2 linked regions of the Tribolium castaneum genome follow. The protein of the gene in region 1 interacts with the protein of each later gene in a biochemical or structural test. Links are inferred from orthologs where the notes say so. Each region holds a gene or a part of one and is shown on either strand. Other genes may lie near its edges. The genes, in order: sli and robo1.

Region 1 (3,832 bases):
TGCGTTGGACACACTGCAGCTTGTTGTAACTGATAATGAGGGTCGAAAGTTTCGATAAGTTGGCGAAAGTGTTGTTTGATAACATCCCGATTTGGTTGCTACTCAAATCCCTAAAATAATCATCCAATTAGCACAAAATTAATTCAAACAAAAAATGAAATACAGTCGGGTCAGTGATTTCAAATGACTGATCCGGTCCGCTTGAATTGTGGTGATTTCGTTGATGTCCAAATACAACTCGGACGTTTCCGGGGGAATCCCCCGGGGAATTTCGGTCAGTTTGGCCCTTGAACAGCGCACGACAGTCCCAGTGCACGAACATTTAGGGGGGCAGTAATTTTCACCCAAACATCCCTGATCATTGTCACCTGAAACCAAAATCAGTGCTTGGTTTTTATCACTCAGTTTTTTTACTTGTGCATTTGAATTCATTTTTGGGCAGTTCTCTGATTAGCACGTCTTTGACTCTTGTTGGGCCCGCACATTTCGGTGGAGACCCACTAAGACCTTTACTTTTCAACCAGTCGGAAAACCACGCCAGGTGGCAGTTGCACATGAAGGGATTTTGCATCAAATTCCTAAAAAACAAATTTATTTATAGTCGTATTTTTTTGGAAAAAATTACAAAGTGTGGAGTGATGTCAAGTGGTCAAAAGAGCCCGGCATGACGCAAGTAATCTGGTTGTTATTAAGTGACAGTACTTTCAAATTGTGGAGTCCTAGAAACATTTTGTTGTGTATTTCGAGTAATTTATTTTCCGACAGTAATCTAGAAATAAATTGGTTAAGCTTGAAGTTGGATTATGTGAAAATAGTACAATTCATAAATTCTGGAAGCTCCCTCGAATGAATTTTCCTCGATTCCGGTGATTTGATTCCGCCGAAGGTCCAGTCTTATTAGGTTCGGAAGTCGGCCAAAAAGCCCATCGGATTTGATTCGTCCCAGCTCATTATCGTGTAATAAACTGGAAAAGATTTTTAACCCAGTTTATTTAATTCTACGTGACTTACAGTTCAGTTGTGTAGACTGGAATATCGCGTGGTATTTCCTTGAGCCCTTTCCCGGAACAATCCACGACCGTCCCGTCGCAAGTGCAGCCAGAAGGGCACGCATTATCAATGAGACACTCTCCTGCAAATCTGGTCCTAAACTCTTCCTGGCCTAAAATCGCAATTTCCTCTCATAACCCAGCCAACAAATTGCAATGATATGTTAATAATGTGATGTATGGAAGGTTAAAAAATGAACACCATCGCCACTGAATTAATCAAGTGGAGGTGCTTACCCTTACATTTAAACTTTTCGTCCTTCAAGGCTTCAATCCGGCGCCTTTGCATCCGCTTTGGAGTGTCACATCTCGCCCCAGAAGTTTCAATTGGGTTTCGGTGGAGATATTCGGCGAGCCATTTCAAGTTACAGTCGCATATAAAAGGGTTCCGGGCCAAATGGCTGAAAAAATATTTTTTCAAGTCGGGTGTTCTTTCAACTTTTTAGCTTACAGTGTCTGGATGCTTCGCAAGGAATCAAAACTGCCATTGGCCAGCGATTGGATGTTATTATCATACAGCGACCTAAAAAATAATTGATTTCCCTGGTTTTATTAAACTCGTTCACTCACAGTAGACTCAAGCTGTGCAAGTCACTAAACGTGTCCTTTCTTATACACGTAATTTCATTCGCGTTTAGTAGACTGAAAACAATTAAAAATCGTAATTAAGTTCGTTAGATGTGATTTAACTTACAGGAGTTGCAGCGAAACCAGACCTTGAAAAACTCCAGCCGGGAGGTCTTTAATTTTATTTCCGTATAAAACTCTGAAAAGTGTGATTGTTAAAAGAATGTTGCTCGTTTTATTAAGTACTTACAAGGAGGTCAGCGCTTTTAATCCCTGGAATGCATCCGATGCTATTTTTGATATTTTATTGTTACTCAAATCTCTGAAAAAAGTTGATGAGAAAAAGTCTGATTGGATTTGCTGACTTACATTCGCCGCAGACGCTTATGGGCCGCGAAAGCTTTCGTCGGGATTTCCACAATTTCGTTCTGCTCTAAGCGTCTGAAAAATTCAGTAGTGCCAATTGAAAATGCTCCACAAAAGTTTATTTTTGTACAGATTGGGGTACAGAGCAATTATAATTATTCTCTGGACGAAAAATAGTATCAAACAGGGGATTATCTTATTAGTTTATTGCTTTATAACGATGAAAATAGGGAAAGAAACATAAATAAACAGCACTGCAAGTGATTTTTGGCACGATTATTTTTTGTAATAAATTAATAATATAAATATGGAGTAAGTACCGCAGAAGCGAGCAAAAATCTTCAATATTAAAACTTACATTTTCTGCTAAAAAGTGGTTTAAATCCACTGTTCATTACTTTAGCCTATATTTTGTTGGAAAATATTCTGAATTTTGGAAAAGAGGAAAAAAAAGTTCACAGTTTTATTTGATGAAAAAAATGTTTGAGGTTTTATTTTATTTTGAAAAATGTGGTTCTAGAAAATCTGTAATATCTATGAAAAATAATAATTGGAATCTTCTTTATTTACTGATTTGTGGAAAAATGTTTGATTAAATTAGAGGGAGCGCCTCTGGAACAATGCCAAGAAACAGCTCCACGTGGCCAAAAATTATGTGCTGGGTATGTCTTGATTGCCATACCCCACGAGGCGGTTAGCCTCATGTGCTATAAAGTAGCAAGCACCCTTTTTTGAACTCGCTTGGTCGCTCCTCGTGTATAAACGTGAGAGCGTCCCCATTCTAGTCGTGAGACGAAGCAGCGAGCGCTATCTCGGGTCGTGCGCTGGAAGTATCAAATCGATAGTCCTTACAATTCTGTGGTTCCTTCCGGAAGATGATCCGGAACTTTCGTCAGTCCTTTTTCCCTGCAATCTACAATTCCATCCGCGCATCTGCACGGATGCGGACATTCGGGCTCGCTGATGCATTCCCCATTGATGGCACGTTCGGCCAAACCTGCAACATTTTTTTCTCAGAAACTGTAAAAAAGTTTGGTTTTTTATTTGTGGGAAAATGCGAGGGAGTGAATGTGAGAAATGCGTGGTCGATCAACAGGTTGGTTGTATAAGTGATTGCCTAACCCGGCGGCGTTCCACTCACCGGAACATTTGAATTCCTGATCCTGCAGATCGGCGATGTTTTGTCCTTTGAGATGGTTGGGTGAATGACATCTGGTGTATTGGGCAAGTCGTGGCGAATGTCTTAAATATCTCGCCAACCACGACAATTGACAATCGCAGTGGAGGAGGTTGTCGCTGAGGCGCAATGTTCGCAAACGAAACATGTTACTGAACATATCTTTGCCGATCCATGTGAGGTTGTTGTTATTTAGAGTCCTGTTGACAGTAAATTGAGTTTATTAAAATTGATTCAGTGGACATCAAAGAGGAGGAACGCTGTGCGATTTTACTTTGATAGTTTTTCTCAAGGCGATGAGCGCTCTCTGTGAAGTCGGCGCGATTATTTTTAGAGCGCAATTTGTACGTTTATGTGTCTTCCTATGTACCAACTTGCATGGTTGATGATTGTTATTAATCGTGAGTGCACTGGCTCTATTTCGAGCCTTTGGAAATTTTGACCAAATCAACTAACCTGACGATTTAGTTTTTAAACTTGGGAACAGATTTTTTTTTATGTTATTCTGACTTTAAATATTTTTTGTTAAGTGTATACAAATCAGAAATTAAGTAACCCATAGCTTTGTGAAAACTTAGCAAAATACAGTGAAACCTCCCTTTAAGGACACCTCCCTATAACGGACACCTCTTCACAACGGACATTTTTGTAGGAACGTGACGAAACTTATATT
Region 2 (3,832 bases), on another chromosome or scaffold:
CAAACACGTGTTTATTTGTTTGAAAAATATTAAAAATAATACATTTTTGACCAAACTTTATGCTTTTTTGCCCTCTTTTTGAAGAAACTTTGATTAGTAGAAACGCGCTAAACCGAACAAAGCAAATCAAACAAAGCTTTGGCACGATCTTGTAAAAGTAAGTTCAAACTTACCTAAATCTCGCAAAATAAACCAAAATAAAATTGATTTGGAACAAATTTTGTGATTTAACTATCATTGTTGGCAAAATTAATCGAAAAAGTTGTTTTTACCCCAAAAATGTGCTTGAACTTTTGAAAAAGACAAAATAACACCTTTTTCGACTTATTTTGGTAACTTTCTGATATGCTTTTGACAACATTTTGCGAAAGAATTAGCTTCCTGTCTCCAAAATATGCTAAAACAATCGAAAAGAAGATATATAGTACTTGACTTAATTTGGCGTTTTGGTCTTCTCTAGTGAAATCTCGCAAAAAAATTAAGTTTTTTTTTGCTGAAATTCGTTTCGAAAATTTTTTATACAATTAATAATTTCTTCAAAAACGTGCTAAATCGAAAAAATACAGCTAAATTCAGTCGATTTCGATGTAATGTAGTGACTTTTCAGCTAGGTAACAAAAAGTAACAATAACATTTTGTGGTTTTTGGTTTATCTTCGATGCAAATTCTTAGAAAAGTGATTTAAAGTTATTAAAATACCACCCATTTTTTTATAAAAATATCCGTGTTGAAAACACGGAAATTTTGCGATATTTTGAGTCAGTTGTTCATTAATAAAATTTGGTAAATGATTATTGATTAGTAAAAGATGTCAACGTTAATAACATATGAAAAAATCAAAGTCGTACTTTTGTAATTTTGTGAAATCGAATTTGAAATTTGAAATTTTTTTCGGAAGTGAAGTTTCAAATTCGAATTTTAGTAACTTGGACCTTTTTTTTTAATTATATTTATTGAAAAAAATAGCTTAAAGTAAATAGAGTTCACACTATAATTCGCAAAATGGAATGGAATGTACTTAAAAACGCGTAATTTCTTGCGTAAACTGGACGATCACGTACATTAAATACTGTATCTCCTAAAGAAATAGAGATCCCATTTTGAGACTTATAGTGTAAAATCTAGATATTATGAGCTATTTTTTAAAATAAAAATAAATTAAGAAAAAATGGTCCAAGTTACTAAAATTCGGATTTAAAACTTCACTTCCGGTTTTCTACACCAAAAAATTTCAAATTCCAAATCTGATTTCGCAATCAAAAAAACAGAGAATTTGCTATGTAAAACACTATTTTAAATATTTTGGTATGCATTAGCTTTTTAAATAAAAGCTTCCAAAAACTCTGTGTCTCATATTTTGTTAAATTTTTAGAAGTCAATATCTTCACATAAGTGTCATACAAAAAAATAATTATGTATTTACAATCATACTTCCTAGAACAATTATCCCGAATATGACCGAATTTCAAGATCTCAAAGTTATATCTTTGTCTACTTCGTGTTAAATGCCCCATTTGCTAAATATCTGACCAAACACATCACTTTTCCGCTACGTTCTTGAAGTTGAATTTTTGTGGCTCTAACTGAAATAACGACCGAACCCCACAATCCGCTTTGTCCTTTGAAGCGGCTGAATGTAATGCTTTATTCACAAGTCGGTTGGCCGAAGGACTACGGATCGTGCGGTCCCCAAACCTTGAATTATTAAGCCATCTTTTGATTAATTTAAACGCGAAATTTAATTACTGTGATTATGGTGGCGGATACCGATACATTATTGAGCGCTTCCGCCGCTAGGGATCGATTCAATCGCCCAAGTTTTATTTTTAGGCGAGTAAATAACACTGTGAAAATCCCCTAAGTTCCCTCTTCATTTTTATTTACCGCTGGCGTGACTCGCAATTTATCGTTGCAGTGAAGCCATTCTTCAATAAGGAACCCCAAGACGTGGTGGCCCTCCTGGGCAAGAGGGTGGTGTTCCAGTGCGCGGTGGACGGGGAGCCCGTCCCCAACGTGCTGTGGCGGCGCGAGGACGGCAAGATGCCCATCGGCCGCGCCCGCATCCTCGACGACAAGTCGCTGCTCATCGACAACGTGCAGACCTCCGACGAGGGCATTTACATCTGCGCGGCCGAGAACGTCGTCGGCAGCATCACGGCCAAGGCATCGCTCGTCGTTAATTGTGAGTATGGAGGACTGTAGATTTGGACACGAAACGAGATACAAAATCGCGCGATTTTCTCTACAGCAGAGTCAAAATGCGGGCGCTTCTGACGCTATACACTTTCGGCGCTAAACGTTTTAAATTAATTTATATTCAACCGGTTCACTAATTACTTGGAAAAAAAACTGAAATGTTGAGCTTTGCATTCTAAATGTTTGGACGAAATCTCGTTTTATTTTTATTTCTTAAAACGACGCTTTATTTGTAAATTGCAAGGATTCAAACGTTATATATTTTTTTAAATAGATAACTACTATCGAAGTGTTCTATTTGTATTTTTGTCTAATTTGAAAATCAGACCATTATTATTGTGTTATTTATTATTTATTTGGATTATTATTATTATTATTATTATTATTGTTATTATTATTTATTTTATTATTTATTATTTATAATAACTTATTGAAATCACTTATTAGAAAAAAATGCAATTGATGAAATTTACCCACTCGAGGTTGGCAACTAAATGTATGGACGCTAATAAATTTAACACCAAAATGGGCTTAACAGAGCTGTCTAATTTGCGATTCTGATAATGAAAGTCGTTTTTAACGTATGGCTTACCACTTGATACAAATATTTTGTTCCAAAATGTCAAGAAGTTTTTATAAAATTATCATTTCGAGCGTCTCTTGCAAAGAGTTCCATTAAAATGTGAAGAAAAAACGAATTCAAAGGACGAGTGCAGATCAGGGCAAAGAATATTCTTAATTATTGGAAAAATCACATTTTTTGTTTTGGGGCAATTTCCGTGGGATCGTGTTGGATTAGGTAAATGAATTGAATGCAAATTATTATATTCTGTTCCGGAGAGAACTCATACGCAAAAAAAACAATTTGGAAGATAGAAAATTATTATTGGTAGACAAAAACTGTAATTTAAAATAAATAATGCAAATTAAAAAAAAATTGTTTTATTATTTTCACGACATAATGTAACCAAAATGAAGAGTACACAGAGTTAATTTTTTTATTTATACAAATTTACAAATTATCTTTGCAACATTTTGTATTATACCAGTTGATCTTTTTAAAGATAGATCTTTTTTTTTCTCCAAGTTGGTTCTAAGATTCTAGTGTTATCCATTTTTCACATTTTTAATAAAATTTCTTGTTAATTTGGTAAAACATCACAAAAATACACGATCTGTCACTGTCACTGTTAGTTTATGGCGAGATTTTTGTCGCTGTTATTTAACAGAGAATGTTACTGTAGAAATGTTGCTAACAGGAAGTAACAGAGTTGACGTAATAGGAATTTAACAGCTAGTAATAGAGCAATAACATTGTAATAGAAGCTAGAGAATAGCACCATTAATTTCATTTCAACTGCTAAGTAAATAATAGTTATTTTCTAAGCAAAATATTGTAAATGCTAAGTGGTGGTGTATGTTTAAATAAAATTTGCTATATTAAAATGCCAAAGTCGCATTTTGTCTCAAAATTAGCTGTTATAAATTATTCATGAACTTCAAAAAAGAATAGCTAATGTAATTTGTAGTTTCAATAAATGATCTAATCATTAATAACTATGTATTTTATAATTTTATCAATCTCATTTGTAGGTATTAATAATACGAATGCAAAAACACAAGCTTAAAGTTCGAA

The links.
Region 2: the proteins of sli (region 1) and robo1 form a complex in vitro, tested with the Drosophila melanogaster proteins (2 studies listed by BioGRID). The link is inferred for Tribolium castaneum from reciprocal best matches to the Drosophila melanogaster genes sli and robo1.

What each region holds. Positions count from the first base shown.
Region 1 is NC_087397.1:863,258-867,089, reverse strand, and holds part of sli (protein slit), read right to left. Parts: intron 3,360-3,832; coding exon 3,124-3,359; intron 2,980-3,123; coding exon 2,835-2,979; intron 2,715-2,834; exon of another isoform or gene 2,585-2,714; intron 2,058-2,584; coding exon 1,986-2,057; intron 1,939-1,985; coding exon 1,867-1,938; intron 1,816-1,866; coding exon 1,744-1,815; intron 1,692-1,743; coding exon 1,620-1,691; intron 1,573-1,619; coding exon 1,501-1,572; intron 1,451-1,500; coding exon 1,287-1,450; intron 1,163-1,286; coding exon 1,012-1,162; intron 966-1,011; coding exon 819-965; intron 770-818; coding exon 626-769; intron 579-625; coding exon 415-578; intron 369-414; coding exon 164-368; intron 111-163; coding exon 1-110.
Region 2 is NC_087394.1:23,702,584-23,706,415, forward strand, and holds part of robo1 (roundabout homolog 2), read left to right. Parts: intron 1-1,915; coding exon 1,916-2,182; intron 2,183-3,832.